Sus scrofa: one gene and its partners. The protein of the gene in region 1 interacts with the protein of each later gene in a biochemical or structural test. Links are inferred from orthologs where the notes say so. Each region holds a gene or a part of one and is shown in the gene's direction. Other genes may lie near its edges.

Region 1 (5,210 bases):
AAGGGTCCCAGTAAGTTGGCCTGCAGCCGGGGTGGGTGCTGCCGGCCTCGGGCGGCGGCTGGGCGGCAGCCTGAGGCCCTCCCTTGTCCCTGGCAGAGGGCGAAGAGCGCGTGAAACAGAAGGACCTGGGGGATGGCGTCTACGGCTTCGAGTATTACCCCACGGTCCCCGGCACCTACACCGTCACCATCACGTGGGGTGGCCAGAACATCGGGCGCAGGTGAGGCCTGGGCCGGGCGCCCCTCCCCCCTGCCGGGCTCGCCGTGGGCGCTGGGCACTCCCCTGCGTGGCTCTCTCCTTGCAGCCCCTTTGAGGTGAAGGTGGGCACCGAGTGTGGCAATCAGAAGGTGCGGGCCTGGGGCCCCGGGCTGGAGGGTGGCGTCGTTGGCAAGTCGGCCGACTTCGTGGTGGAGGCCATCGGGGACGATGTCGGCACCCTGGGTGAGTTGGCAGCTGGGGGCAGAGCGTGGCGAGGGCCGCCCCGCCGAGGCTCCAGGGTGCTGACGGAGCTGGCGGCTGTCGGCAGGCTTCTCGGTGGAGGGCCCGTCGCAGGCCAAGATCGAGTGTGACGACAAGGGCGACGGCTCCTGCGACGTGCGCTACTGGCCGCAGGAGGCCGGCGAGTACGCGGTGCACGTGCTGTGCAACAGCGAGGACATCCGCCTCAGCCCCTTCATGGCCGACATCCGCGAGGCGCCCCCCGACTTCCATCCCGACAGGGTAGGGGGTGTGTGCCGCCGGCCGGGAGGCTAGGCTGGTGCCCCTGATGGCTGGTAGGGCTCCTGCCGCGCCGTCTCTGGCATTGACACCTGGCCCCTGAGCCTTGCGTGGTCTCTTGTCAGGTGAAGGCACGCGGGCCCGGCTTGGAGAAGACGGGCGTGGCCGTCAACAAGCCCGCCGAGTTCACGGTGGACGCCAAGCACGGCGGGAAGGCTCCTCTCAGGGTCCAAGTCCAGGTGGGGGGCCCGCCCACCCGCGGAGGGGGCCCAGGCGGGCAGGGGCCTGGACCCAGGCACTGACCAGGAGGCCCCCTGCTCCGGCCCACTTTGCAGGACAATGAGGGCTGCCCCGTGGAGGCCTCGGTCAAGGACAACGGCAACGGCACTTACAGCTGCTCCTACGTGCCCCGGAAGCCAGTGAAGCACACGGCCATGGTGTCCTGGGGAGGCGTCAGCATCCCCAACAGCCCCTTCCGGGTGAGCCTGCCCCCCCGCAGGCCTGACAGGCCTTTAGCCCCCTTCCCTGGGGCGCCAGATTCGTTTTTCCACAGCTCTAGCTGCTAAAACTCGAACAGCACGCAGCTCACCCTTTCGTGTGTGCAGTTGGAGGGGGTTGAGTCAGGTCAGAGCTGTGCAGTCATCAGCACAACCGAGCGAGCAAAGCTTGGGACGTTTGCACCAGCCCCCAGAGGAGCTCCTCTCCCCTCAGGGGCCCTGCCCGCAGCCCTCGGCAGCCCCCGCTCTGCTCTGCGGCCCGGCGGGCTGACCTCTTGTGGACATGAACTGGAGGTGGACTCGTCCGCCCTGTGGTCTTTGGGGTCTGGCCACTTTCACCCAGCAGTGCGTTTTATCACGGCTTGTCCACACCGCGGCCCGGGCCAGTGCTCCCCGCCGTTTCACAGCTGGACGTTCCGTTATTTATCCAGTCGTCTGTTGATGGACCTTTGGGGGTTTTTGTACCTTTCGGCTGTCGCGTACACTGCCGCTCTGAACATTCCAGTGCAGAGATCTCATCTCCCTGGGTGGACAGATACCGGCCTAGGCGTGGAATCGCAGCGCCGTCCGGTCACTTTGTGGTTCATTGTTTGAGGAACCGCCAGAGGACTTCCCGGTGGGCCGACCCCCCCCCCGCCCCGCCTCTCCTCCAGGCCGGTCACGCCCCGCACTCGCCCCTGTGCCCCGCAGGTGAACGTGGGAGCTGGCAGCCATCCAAACAAGGTCAAGGTGTACGGCCCGGGCGTGGCCAAGACGGGGCTCAAGGCTCACGAGCCCACATACTTCACTGTGGACTGCACAGAGGCCGGCCAGGGTAAGTCGCTGCCTCGAGAGTAGGCGGGCGAGGCGGCGAGGCGTCCGCATGGGGTCCCAGCCTCCATGCCTTCTGCCACCACAGGTGACGTCAGCATCGGCATCAAGTGTGCCCCTGGCGTGGTGGGCCCCACCGAGGCTGACATCGACTTCGACATCATCCGCAACGACAATGACACCTTCACAGTCAAGTACACGCCGCGGGGTGCTGGCAGCTACACCATCATGGTCCTCTTTGCTGACCAGGTGGGTGCTACTGCTCCCGGCCCCTCACGCTGCTGGGTATTGGCTGCTGCTCTCTTCTCAGCCCTTCTCTTCCCGCCCTCTGCAGGCCACGCCCACCAGCCCCATCCGGGTCAAGGTGGAGCCCTCCCACGATGCCAGCAAAGTGAAGGCCGAGGGCCCTGGCCTCAGTCGCACGGGTGAGCACAGGTCCCCTGTGGGGGTCGGGGGAGGGCATGGGGCCACGTGACCCTACAGCATCGCCGTGTCTCATCAGGTGTCGAGCTCGGCAAACCCACCCACTTCACGGTCAACGCCAAAGCTGCCGGCAAAGGCAAACTGGATGTCCAGTTTTCGGGGCCGGCGAAGGGGGACGCGGTGCGCGACGTGGATGTCATCGACCACCACGACAACACTTACACCGTCAAGTACACGCCTTTGCAGCAGGTAGCTGCCTGGCCCCCGCGCGTGGGGGCTTCCCACCCACTCGCGTTTCCCCCAGGGGAGAGAGTGGCCCCAGAACCGCAGGGGGCAGTGGAGCATCCACCACCCCTACCCCCAACGCCATGCCCAAGGTGGGAAGCAGCGGGCCAGGGACACCAAGGTCATGACCCGTGACCCTGCCCTTCTGTACTCCTCCCAGGGCCCAGTGGGCATCAATGTCACTTATGGCGGGGACCCTATCCCCAAGAGCCCCTTTTCAGTGGGGGTGTCTCCAAGCCTGGACCTGAGCAAGATCAAGGTGTCCGGCCTGGGAGAGAGTAAGTAGCTGGCCGGGGCCTCGTCACCGTCCCCGAGAGTGCCGCAGGGCTGCCTGGGCCGCTGTCACAGTTCTCGCCTTCCTTTCCTCATCTCCACAGAGGTGGATGTTGGCAAAGACCAGGAGTTCACGGTCAAGTCGAAGGGTGCAGGCGGCCAGGGCAAAGTGGTGTCCAAGATTGTGGGCCCTTCAGGGGCTGTGGTGCCCTGCAAGGTGGAGCCGGGCCTGGGGGCTGACAACAGCGTGGTGCGCTTTGTGCCCCGCGAGGAGGGGCCCTACGAGGTCGAGGTGACCTATGACGGCGTGCCTGTGCCCGGCAGCCCCTTTCCCCTGGAAGCCGTGCCCCCCACCAAGCCGAGCAAGGTAACTGGGGTGTGGGGCGGCCCCCCTTCTCCAGACTCGCCCTCACCCTTTCTCATCTTTGCGCCCTGTCTGCTGGGGGAGGGAGGCCCGCAGCGGCGGCAGATGGCAGGTCGGGCTGAGGGCTTCCGGGCCGGGGCTGGGGCCAGGGAGGTAGCGTGGCTTCGGCGCCTGACCTGCCCCTCCGCCTGCAGGTGAAGGCCTTCGGGCCAGGGCTGCAAGGGGGCAGCGCAGGCTCCCCTGCCCGCTTCACCATCGACACCAAGGGTGCCGGCGTGGGCGGCCTGGGCCTGACGGTCGAGGGCCCCTGCGAGGCCCAGCTCGAGTGCCTGGACAACGGGGACGGCACGTGCTCTGTGTCCTACGTGCCCACCGAGCCCGGGGACTACAACATCAACATCCTCTTCGCTGACACTCACATCCCCGGCTCCCCGTTCAAGGCCCACGTGGTTCCCTGCTTTGATGCATCCAAGGTCAAGTGCTCAGGCCCCGGGCTGGAGAGGGCCACGGCCGGCGAGGCAGGCCAGTTCCACGTGGACTGCTCGAGCGCAGGCAGCGCCGAGCTGACCATCGAGATCCGCTCCGAGGCGGGGCTGCCCGCCGAGGTGCACATCCAGGATCACGGCGACGGCACGCACACCATCACCTACATCCCGCTTTGCCCCGGGGCCTACACGGTCACCATCAAGTACGGTGGCCAACCTGTGCCCAACTTCCCCAGCAAGCTGCAGGTGGAGCCCGCGGTGGACACCTCGGGCGTCCAGTGCTATGGGCCCGGGGTCGAGGGCCAAGGTGAGAGGCGCACGGCGGGACCTGGGCATGGGGGCGGCCAGGGCGCTGGAGCCCACGCCTCCTCTCCACACCTCCCTTGCAGGCGTCTTCCGAGAAGCCACCACGGAGTTCAGCGTGGATGCCCGGGCCCTGACGCAGACCGGAGGGCCGCACGTCAAGGCCCGCGTGGCCAACCCCTCTGGCAACCTGACCGAGACCTACGTGCAGGACCGCGGCGACGGCACCTACAAAGTGGAGTACACGCCCTACGAGGAGGGTGCGTGCGTGCGTGCGTGCGAGCGGGGTGGCCCGGGGGCCGGGGAGCCCGGGCTCTTCCTGACACCGCCTCTGCCCTCCCGCAGGGCTGCACTCCGTGGACGTGACCTACGACGGCAGCCCCGTGCCCAGCAGCCCCTTCCAGGTACCCGTGACGGAGGGCTGTGACCCGACCCGAGTGCGCGTGCACGGGCCGGGCCTGCAGAGCGGCACCACCAACAAGCCCAACAAGTTCACCGTGGAGACCAGGTGAGCGAGAGCCCCGGAGGGCAGGGGCTGGGGCGGCCCTGGCCCCCCAGGTTGTGACGAGCTGTCTGCTTGGACAGGGGAGCTGGCACGGGGGGCCTGGGCCTGGCCGTGGAGGGCCCCTCGGAGGCCAAGATGTCCTGCATGGACAATAAGGACGGCAGCTGCTCGGTCGAGTACATCCCCTACGAGGCCGGCACCTACAGTCTCAACGTCACCTATGGCGGCCACCAAGTCCCAGGTGAGGACGCGGGTCGGCTGGGCCTGGGCGGGCACCACCTGCTCGCCCTGCGCTCTGTCTCACACGGCTGCTGCCACCCCTCTTGCCCCCCCGCCAGGCAGTCCTTTCAAGGTCCCTGTGCATGATGTGACAGATGCGTCCAAGGTCAAGTGCTCGGGGCCGGGCCTGAGCCCTGGCATGGTCCGCGCCAACCTCCCTCAGTCCTTCCAGGTGGACACGAGCAAGGCTGGCGTGGCCCCCCTGCAGGTCAAAGTGCAGGGGCCCAAAGGTGAGCCTCCCCGCGCCTGGGAATAGGGGTCAGGTCAGG
Region 2 (5,210 bases), on another chromosome or scaffold:
GAGAGGACATGGCTGCAGGGCTGAGCACCTGTCCCAGAGCAGAGGGGACAAGCTAGACGATGTGACCCACAGCTGGCCTGCTCCTGGCCCTGCCTTCAAGCTGGGCGAGAGGCTGCCTGGCCCTGCCTCCCCGCGCCCCAGTCCTGAGGAATGACTGGCTCCTTACGCCACAGGCCCGTGGACCCTGTGCTAAAGGCCATCAAGGAAGGCGACGAAGAGGCCTTGAAGGCCATGATCAAGGCGGGGAAGAACCTCGCAGAGCCCAACAAAGACGGCTGGCTGCCGCTGCACGAGGCAGCCTACTACGGCCAGCTGAGCTGCCTCAAGACGCTGCACCAAGGTGAGGCGGTGGCTCTGGGTGCAGCCACGCGTGGGAACAGGACTCACGGGCAAGGGCACCTTCCTTCCAGAGCTTTGCCTCCGCAAAAACTGCAGTAAGGGGACAAAGGAAAGTTATTACCTGCCTTGCAGAGTTAGTCACCGAGTTGGAAGCAAGGAAGTGACTTGTCCCCTTACCCCTCCATGTCCCCCATCCCCATCCTGTCACCTCTCCAGGCCTCCCAGGACAGGAAAGCCTAATTCCTAGAAAAGGAAGGAGGGAGGGTTGCCTTTGGGGAGAGCCACTGCCAGCTTGTTCCAGAATGTTTCAGGGACTGATCTGGTGTGGAAAATGCTGCAGCTGTGCCTGTGCCCTGCCAGGGCTGCCTCCAACAGCTGTGAGACCCTGGGCAAATCATGGCCCCTCTCTGAGCCTCGCCACCCTGGGCAAATCATGGCTCCTCTCTGAGCCTCGCCTTTCCCCCAGGCCCCATGTGAATGGAAACACCTGCAGGCCCTCAGGAGGCACGGAGCCCAGGCAGCCCACCGCCCTCCAGGGCAGGAACAGATGCATGAGCCAAGCTTCTGGTAGTGGCGGCTGGGAGTGTAAGGGTAGGACAGGGTCATTCAGAGAAAGAAGGAGTTCAACCAGGGAAGGCTTCCCAGAGGAGGTGGCATCTGAGCTGGATTAATATGACCGGGAAGCTGCCACAGCCCTGTGAAAGTGGCTGAATCCAGGGCCAAGAGAATGAAGGCAGTCTGGATGGAAAATTCAGGGAGATGCCAGGCATATCTGTCCTTGGGATTGGGAGGAAATCGGGACCACCTCTGTGTTGGGGGTGGGGGTGGGTGTCTTCCTCTTTATGAGTTTCCTGGTCCGTCCTGCCCAGCATACCCAGCCGTCATTGACCAGCGCACCCTGCAGGAGGAAACGGCCCTTTACCTAGCGACATGCAGAGGACACCTGGACTGCCTCCAATCCCTGCTCCAGGCTGGGGCCGAGCCTGACATCTCCAACAAGTCCCGTGAGACACCGCTCTACAAAGGTGAGCCCGTGAGGGTGGGCTTCCCCAGGAAGGGTCCAGAAGCTAGCTGGGCAATCAGGAGAATTGCTTGCAAAGTGTATAACACCCCGCCCCGCCCCGGGGAACCTAATGTGACCGGGCAGCCTCGTTCAGATGTATAACTTATATATCTGAAACATTCATTCATGCACGGATACACTCAACATGTCCCAAGTCCTCCCATGGGCCAGGCATGCTGAGGACTCAGAGATGCAAAGATGTGGCCTGTGCCCATGTGCTCTTCCAGCCCGGTGGGCATCAATTCACAGCCAATGTAACAGTCAACTACTGGCATTGAGAAACTTGGCACCAGATACCTGGGAGAATGGGGGAGGGCCCCCGCAGGAGGGGGTCCCAAAGCTGAGCCTGAACAGGAGGAATTTACCCCCTGGACAAGCAGGGGGAACAGCATAGGCAAAGGCAAAGAGGCTTGAAAGGGAAAGTGTCCCTCTAGAATATTTGACAAAAGAAAAAACTCCTGGTTTACTCAAAACATCATCCAAGGACATTCACTGGCTGCCCTAGCAATGCCCAGAGTCAAAATCTGAATAATCATAACAGCTGGCATTTATTGTGTGCTTACTGTGTGTCAGGCTCTGTCCTTTCCTCTAACCCTCCCGTCCATCCACATATGAGGCAGGCCCTGCTGGTAGCCCCATTTTACAGATAAGGCCCCCAGGCATCCAGGAAGACACAGTCGGCAAGGGGCAGACCTAGTATCGAAACTCCAGGAGTCGGATGCCAGCATGGCACTATGACCCACCACGCCATCAAGCGTCATTCATGCCTACATGCTTAAGCAGTCATGGGTCTTGTGACAATGAGAGGGTCTTCGCACATTGAAAAACCACAGAAATTCGCAAACTCCCAGGTGTCTGGTATCCAGCACCTGGAACATTCCATAGGCAGCAGGAACCAGGTCCATGGCAGACCCGCAGTGGAAGTGTCTTCCCTAGAACTCGTGTCCACTGGGCACCAGAGCCATCTCCTGGAGCCTCAGCTGTCCCAGAGGGAGCTCCCAGGATGCTGGGTGACTCGCAGGCCCGGGCCCTGGTCTTGCACGAGCTCCACCCTGTGCCAAGCTCCACGCTAGAGCCTTGGTACACTGCCTCACCCCGCACCCTACAGCATCCTCGTGGGATGGTTTTGTTATCTGTGCTTTATGGGCGAGGAAAGCAGGGCTCAGAGAGGGGGGGACCTTCGCCTGGGGTCCTGTTTGAAACATTGCACAGGTGGAGTTCCCACTGTGGCACAGAGGAAACAAATCCGACTAGTATCCACGAGGATGCAGGTTCGATCTCTGGCCTCGCTCAGTGGGTCAGGGTTCTGGCATTGCCATGAGCTGTGGTGTAGGTTGCAGATGTGGCTTGGACCTGGTGTTGCTGTGACTGTGGTGTAGGCCAGCAGCTGCAGCCTGGCATGCAAACCCTAGCCCAGGAACTTCCATATGCCGCAGGTGCAGCCTTAAAAAGCACACACACACACACACACACACACACACACACAACAAAAGGAAAAATACCACTACACAGGCGTTTCCCCCCCACTTTTCGCTACCCCCTGACTCAGTGGGAGAAGCTTCTAGAAGTGGTTAATTTGAACAAGTGCTCCTCCCTGATAATAGTTCTGCAAGCATTAAGGCTGCAGTAGGGTCTAGAGAGAGCTAGAGCTTACAAGGGAGCTTTGAGGGAGTTCCTGTCATGGCTCAGCAGTAACAAACCCAACTAGTAACTATAAGGTTGTGGGTTCCATCCCTGGCCTCGCTCAGTGGGTTAAGGATCCGGCATTGCCGTGAACTGTGGTGTAGGTCAAAGACGTGGCTTGATCCTGTGTTGCTGCGGCTGTGGTATAGGCCAACAACTGCAGCTCTGATTCGACCCCTAGCCATGGAACTTTTGTACGCTGCAGGTGCGGCCCTAAAAATAAAAAAAATTTTTTTAATTCAAAAAAGGAGGTTTGAGCAGGTTGAGAAAGACTTGAGCTATACTCAGAAGATAGAAACAGAGTTCGTGGGCAGGTTAACGAAGAACATGAGGCGGTTGGCTCAGTGGACGTCCGGCGTGAGCTGGGCGTAGTTGCAGACGCGCTCGATCCGCGTTGCTGTGCTCTGGAGAGCCGGTGTTATAGCTCGATCAACCCTAGCCTGGAACTCATATGCCGCTGAGTGCCAAAAATAGCAACAACAACAAAAAAAAAAAAAAAAAAATTTTAGCCCAAACTAAGTGAGTAGCCTTTGAGGAAGTGTTCTGAGCAGGAATTTGACATTCTCCTCCTCTTCTGTCCTTGGCGACACGGAGAACTGAAGCAGGTAACACTGGAAAGGGAGGCCAGTTGGGGCATTCTAGAACCTTCCAGAGACAGGAACTCCAGACCTGACTACGTGGATTTGAATCCTAGTTCTGCCACTTACTGTCTGTGTGACTTTGGACAGGTCACTTAACTTCTCTGTGCCTCACTTTCCTCATCTGTAAAAGGGGATAACACTATATCCTTTAAGGGTGGTTGGGAGAACTAAATTAGTTCATCATGTAAGTGCTTTGAATAGCGTGTCCAGCACATGACCAGTGTTGTATGCACATCAGCAAATATTACTATTACTTTTAGTTGTGTATCCTAGGTTTAAGGCAGGGACCAGAACTTTGTACAGACCGGGGGATATTTGTTGAGTGAATGGCTGATAATGGAACAGGTGAATGAAGTCTTGGGCGGCCGGGTCCTGCCAGGAGCCCTGCTGACTGTCTTGCTTCTCCCTGGGCACAGCCTGTGAGCGCAAAAACGTGGAGGCCGTGAGGATTCTGGTGCAGTACAACGCGGACACCAACCACCGCTGTAACCGAGGCTGGACAGCTCTGCACGAGTCTGTTGCTCGCAATGACCTGGAGGTCATGGAGATCCTGGTGAGCGGAGGTGCCAAGGTGGAATCCAAGAATGCCTATGGCATCACCCCCTTGTTCGTGGCTGCCCAGAGTGGGCAGCTGGAGGCACTGAGGTTCCTGGCCAAACACGGTGAGTGCCAAGGGTCCCTGGGTCGTGGAGTTGCCAAGGGGCATAGCCGGGAAGGACCCCAGAGATCAAGTCTAAGGAAAAGCAGGTTTTGGTGTCATCTTATAGCCAGCCTCTGATTGAGTGATATATGCATATATCTTCTGGGAAGACTGTGTTGAGAAGGATTCTGAGGCTGTGTTTAGGCTCAGCCAGAATTGTGTTGAGATCCACTAGTGATGCCTGCCATGAGGCACAGACTTGGAGGGGAGCGGCACACGTGCTGCATCGTAGCCTCGCTAAGCTAGCCCAACATCCTTATTTTACAAATGAGGAATCGGAGGCCCAGCAAGAGGAAGTAACTTATCTCTCTGCAGTCACGTACCGAATTAGCAGTACGACCAGCCCAGACTCTTAATCTCCAGACACCCCATCTTCTCTTTGCATCATGTCACATTTTAGGGCCAGAAGGAAATTGAGACAACGTTTAGGTCACCTCCTCCTTTATTTTTTATTTTTTTGCTTTTTAAGGTCGTACCCGTGGCATATGGAAGTTCCCAGGCTAGGGGTCAAATCAGAGCTACAGCTATCAGCCTACACCACAGCCAGACAATGTGGGATCTGAGCCATGTCTGCGACCTACCCCACAGCTCATGGCGTGCCAGATCCTTAACCCACTGAGCAAGGCCAGGGATCGAACCTGCATCGTCATGGATGCTAGTCGAGTTTGTTAACCGCTGAGCCATGAAGGGAATTCCTTCAGCTCCTCATTTTATAGGTGATGAACCCAAGGACCAGAATGGGAAAGGAATCTGTCCAAGGTCACACAGTAAATTCACAGCAGAC
Region 3 (5,210 bases), on another chromosome or scaffold:
GGACGTGTTGGGAGACATTGTGAATGTAGCACAGACGAGGTGAACAGTGAAGACATGGACGCTTACTGCAGGAAAGAGAACAGTTCAGAAATCTGTAGCAACAATGGAGAGTGTGTCTGCGGACAGTGTGTATGTAGGAAGAGGGATAATACAAACGAAATTTATTCTGGCAAATTCTGCGAGTGTGATAATTTCAACTGTGATAGATCCAATGGCTTAATTTGTGGAGGTGAGACGGGGTCTGAAGATGGTTCTGTAATGGTCCTGTCTAATACAATCAAAAGTCCTGAGAGTTTGCTTAGTGAATGGATAGAAAAAAGGCAGCACTGAGGGTCACTCTATCCTATAGATACACTTTCATACATATTACTGCTTGTTCTTACTTTCCAGTCAATGCTGTGACTTTATATTTTTACCATTGTTACAAGAAATGATATTTTTTAATTTTAGGAAATGGTGTTTGCAAGTGTCGAGTGTGTGAGTGCAACCCCAACTACACTGGCAGCGCCTGTGACTGTTCTTTGGATACTACGTCCTGCATGGCTGTAAATGGACAGATCTGCAATGGCCGGGGTGTCTGTGAATGTGGGGTCTGTAAGTGTACAGATCCCAAGTTCCAAGGGCCAACTTGTGAGATGTGTCAGACCTGCCTCGGAGTCTGTGCTGAGCATAAGTAAGTATTTCCTGATTGCTTGAAGTAGGTGATACTGTCCGTTGGCCTAACTGTGTAGTTATTTAAGACTTTTAAATCTTAATAGCTGGTGTTTGTTACATGATATTGAAGTATGCCGTATGAGAGTGGTGGCAGCATTCTTTCAATCTGAATTTACTATGTAGTTGAGTCCATGTGGTAACCTTTGTTAAATTAGCAACACCACTTGCTTATCTTTGGATCAGACTAAGCACAATTGAAGGTTTTGTCTTTGAAAAAAGACCTATTCCATCAGCAACACATTTAAAAAATTACTTTGGTTTTATATTGTATATTTAATATCTGATAGGGCTAGTTTTATTTTAGTACTCATTTCTTTTGGAGGATTTTGGTTTGCGTTATCTATAATTTCACCTGGGAAATTTGCATCTTTAAACTTTTTTTTTAATTACAGTATAGTTGATTTATAATGTGCCAGTTTCTGCTGTACAGCAAAGTGACTCAGTTATACATGCATTCTTTTTTTATATTCTCATCCATCACGGTCTATCCCAGGAGAATGGATATAGTTTCCTGTGCTGTACTCTCGGACTGGTTCTTTTCTTTTTTTTTTTTTTTTTTTTGTCTTAGTCCCGCACTTGGGGCATAAGGAAGTTCCCTGGCTAGGGGTCTCATCAGAGCTGCAGCTGCCAGCCTGCATCACAGCCACAGCACCAGATCCAAGCCATGTCTGTGATCTACACTACAGCTCACGGCGGTACCCGGTCCTTAACCCACCGAGCGGGGCCAGGGAGCCACAACGGGAACTCCGTGGACCTTGTTCTTTATGAAATTAGCATCTTTATGTTTAGTTTTTTACTAGAATTTGTGTGTTTCTTCATTTATTCAAATCTTCTGTCGTAGCTCTTGGTTTAATTTGTTCCTATTTTGAGTTTAGCACAGGAAAAGTAATCTTTAAGCAAATATTTTAAATAAGAAATATAATGATGTATGTTTTAACAGAGAATGTGTTCAGTGCCGAGCCTTCAATAAAGGAGAAAAGAAAGATACATGTGCCCAGGAATGTTCACATTTCAACATTACCAAGGTTGAAAATCGGGACAAATTGCCCCAGCCAGGCCAGGTCGATCCCTTGTCCCATTGTAAGGAGAAGGACGTTGATGATTGCTGGTTCTACTTCACATACTCGGTGAATGGGAACAATGAGGCCACTGTTCATGTTGTAGAGACTCCAGGTAAAAGTCATTTTCATTTATGTCTTTTTACTGCTTAGGGCAATTGGCAGTTTCCCTTGTATCTAGGAAAAGCTTTGAGCTGGACTATTTTAGGTTTATTTGGGACATTTCTAATCTCTTAAAGCTAAAATAGTATTAACTACATAAGAAATAAGGGAAAGAGCAAATTTTAAGTTTTATGATTAGAGAGATTAAAGAGTATATCAGCAGTCCACACAGAGCTCTCAGCACAGGGCCGGACGGCACGGGGCCGACTCAGTAAGAGTCAAGTCACTGTGAGTGATATATGTATATGTATATTTTTTAGGGCTGCACCCGTGGCATATGGAGGTTCCCAAGCTAGGGGTCGAATTGGAGCTGCAGTTGCCAGCCTACCCAACAGCCACAGCAACACTGGATCCCAGCTGTGTCTGTGACCTACACCATAGCTCACAGCAACCCAGGATCCTTAACCCACTGAGAGAGGCCAAGGATTGAACCCTCGTCCTCATGGATGCTAGTTGGGTTCATAACCTGCTGAGCCACAATGGGGAACTCCTATGAATGATATTTAAATATACTTGATTTAGAAGGGGACACTGGGAAACTTATTTTGTCACAGGATATTATAGAGCATGGCTTTGTTCAGCTTCTCAGAAGATGAAACATTTTTTATCTTGTTTTTCCAGATGATTTTTAAATATTCTTTGCAATTTTCTACATTTGTGTTCAGGTTTTTATGGGAATATAAGTTTTAATTTCTCTTGGATAAATATTCAGAATGGATTTTGGGGACATATATTTAACTTTGGAAGAAAGAGCCAAACTTTTAAAGTCTGTATTTTGCATTTTCAGATATTTTGCAAATATTGTCTTCTGGTCTATGCATCCTTCTTTTCATTGTCTTAAGTGTTTTTTTGAATATCTGAAGCTTAAATTTTGACGAATCACATTTGCCAAGTTTTTCTTTTTTAGATTCTGCTTTTTTAACTAAGACCTCTTGGTGTATTTCAAGTTCATAAGGATTTTTTCCTTTGTTTTCTCCTAAAAGTTTTATGGTTTCTGGTTTATTTGAGCTGATCTTGCTTGGCATATGGGGTGATGTTCAGTTTTTTTGTGCATGGATAGCTGGTCATTCTTACACCATTTCTTGAAAAGATTGACCCTTCTCTACTGTGGTTGAAAATCAGATGACCTTGTATGTGTGGGCCTGTTTCTGACTCATGATTCTGTTCCGTTAATCCATGCATCTGTCTTAGAGTCAATACAACACGATTTAAATTACTGTTGCTTCAAATCCAGTTGTGAAATTTGGTAATGTGAGTTATCCAACTTTGTTCTTTTCCAAAAGTGTTTTTAAAAGACTTTTCTAGTTCTCCTCCTCCTTTGTGAATTTTAGAATTAACTTGCTTGACATCTGTACACATCCTGCCAGGATTTTGATTGGGATAGCATTGAGTTTATAGATCACATTGGGGGAGAAGTGACATCTTAACAATATTGAATCTTCTAATATAGAACATGGAATCTCTCCCCATTTATTCAGGCCTTCGATCTCTTTCATCAGTGTTTAGTAATTTTCAGCATGTAAATCTTACACATTTTTTGTTAGAATTTTACATTGGTATTTCATGATTTTGATGCTATTGTAGAAAATACTGTTTTCTCATTTTCAATTTCTGATATAAAGAAATCAGTTTCTGTTATAAAATACATAGGACTTTTCTTTATTGGTCATGTCTCCTGTTGTCTTGTGAACTCATCTGTGAACTTTTAGTGTCTTTTTTATAGATTCTGTGGGATAGTGTCCATTGACTTATCTTGGATTTTAATTCCTTAGTGTTTTTTATGAGACTCTTCAGCTCTCTGTAATGTGGGCTGTACTTCACACATACCAACCCCTTGTGTGCTCATCGTCTGCTGCTTATTTTACAGAGTGTCCCACTGGTCCAGACATTATTCCAATTGTAGCTGGTGTGGTTGCTGGAATTGTTCTCATTGGCCTTGCACTGCTGCTCATTTGGAAGCTTTTAATGATTATTCACGACAGAAGGGAATTTGCCAAATTTGAAAAGGAAAAAATGAATGCCAAATGGGACACGGTGAGTTGGAAGACATCTAAAAAGGAATATAACTCTTCTAAGACATGTTTAGTAATTCTCAAGCTGATTATTAAAGTCCTTTAAATATTTTATTCCCCCAAGACTTTACTCAGAAAATTTGCATTTAGCCAAAACCAGAAAACACCCTAAATAACGTCACATTAAAACAAAACAATGTTTATTCTGGTTACTATGGTTAATATTTTTATTTCTATAATAGTTTTGTCTTTTTTCTTTTTTAGGGCCACACCTGCAACATGTGGAGGTTCCCAGGCTGGGGGTATAATTGGAGCTGTAGCCACCGGCCAGAGCCACAGCAACACCAGATCCGAGCCGCATCTGCAACCTACAACACAGTTCACGGCAACGCCAGATCCTTAACCCACCGAGTGAGGACAGGGATCAAACCCACAACCTCATCGTTCCTAGTTGGATTCTTTTCATCTGCGCCACCACGGGAACTCCTATTTCTGTAATAGTTTTGATCTTAAATCTGAACTTCTGACTTTTCTTATGAAAGATATAATCCTCAATAATGTTATATGTGTAGCAATAGAAGGTTTCTTCTTGCTTTCTTTATTTTTTCAACAAAGAACCTTGAATGGAAAGCAGCCAGACTCAAAGGGCTGCTGTACGATTTATATGAGTGTTGAAGAGGCACAACTATAGGGGCAGAGATGAGATCAGTGGTTTCTAAGGCCTGGAGTTGGGGATCTAGGGATGGTCTCCACTGTGGGTGTGTTTTTACATTTGAGAATTCATGGACCTGTGTAGTTCAGGGTATTTTTACTCTGCAAATTACAACCCGATAACCCTTGCTTTATACAAAATTTAAAAGCTGTAAGTGATGCAAGTTTATGCGAGCATTTAGGGCTTTGAAGTAGGGGTGACAGGGTGGGGCGGCCGAGGTTGGCCCTATGATTTCATCTTTTGGTAGAAGAAAGCAGTGACAGTCTTCAGGGTTTTAAATTGTAAATGAACCTTAGTCATTTGCATTTTCCTACCACTTGCTTGGGTTTTTAAAAAAAGTGATGAATTCCAGGAAGTGTAAAAATAGTAAAATTTCTCTCTTAAAGTGTTTAATCACTATGTATGTCATTTTTTTCTGATGAAATCATTAGAAACTATTTCTTTCACTTTAGCAAGAAAATCCGATTTACAAGAGTCCTATTAATAATTTCAAGAATCCAAACTATGGACGTAAAGCTGGTCTCTAAGTTGCCGTTCGTATTTTCTTTGATT

Evidence for each region.
Region 2: the proteins of FLNA (region 1) and ASB2 form a complex in vitro, tested with the Homo sapiens proteins (3 studies listed by BioGRID, with this or other methods). The link is inferred for Sus scrofa from reciprocal best matches to the Homo sapiens genes FLNA and ASB2.
Region 3: the proteins of FLNA (region 1) and ITGB1 form a complex in vitro, tested with the Homo sapiens proteins (3 studies listed by BioGRID and IntAct). The link is inferred for Sus scrofa from reciprocal best matches to the Homo sapiens genes FLNA and ITGB1.

The regions. Positions count from the first base shown.
Region 1 is NC_010461.5:124,899,339-124,904,548, forward strand, and holds part of FLNA (filamin-A), read left to right. Parts: coding exon 1-10; intron 11-96; coding exon 97-220; intron 221-304; coding exon 305-441; intron 442-526; coding exon 527-720; intron 721-842; coding exon 843-956; intron 957-1,052; coding exon 1,053-1,196; intron 1,197-1,904; coding exon 1,905-2,028; intron 2,029-2,112; coding exon 2,113-2,273; intron 2,274-2,358; coding exon 2,359-2,449; intron 2,450-2,526; coding exon 2,527-2,696; intron 2,697-2,892; coding exon 2,893-3,010; intron 3,011-3,109; coding exon 3,110-3,372; intron 3,373-3,563; coding exon 3,564-4,161; intron 4,162-4,243; coding exon 4,244-4,417; intron 4,418-4,502; coding exon 4,503-4,665; intron 4,666-4,742; coding exon 4,743-4,903; intron 4,904-5,000; coding exon 5,001-5,171; intron 5,172-5,210. UniProt on the Homo sapiens protein: Promotes orthogonal branching of actin filaments and links actin filaments to membrane glycoproteins. Anchors various transmembrane proteins to the actin cytoskeleton and serves as a scaffold for a wide range of cytoplasmic signaling proteins.
Region 2 is NC_010449.5:115,227,359-115,232,568, reverse strand, and holds part of ASB2 (ankyrin repeat and SOCS box protein 2), read left to right. Parts: intron 1-173; coding exon 174-340; intron 341-1,208; coding exon 1,209-1,364; intron 1,365-4,142; coding exon 4,143-4,388; intron 4,389-5,210. UniProt on the Homo sapiens protein: Substrate-recognition component of a SCF-like ECS (Elongin-Cullin-SOCS-box protein) E3 ubiquitin-protein ligase complex which mediates the ubiquitination and subsequent proteasomal degradation of target proteins.
Region 3 is NC_010452.4:56,085,007-56,090,216, reverse strand, and holds part of ITGB1 (integrin beta-1), read left to right. Parts: coding exon 1-229; intron 230-450; coding exon 451-673; intron 674-1,654; coding exon 1,655-1,887; intron 1,888-3,801; coding exon 3,802-4,052; 3' UTR 4,053-5,110; coding exon of another isoform or gene 5,111-5,185; 3' UTR 5,186-5,210.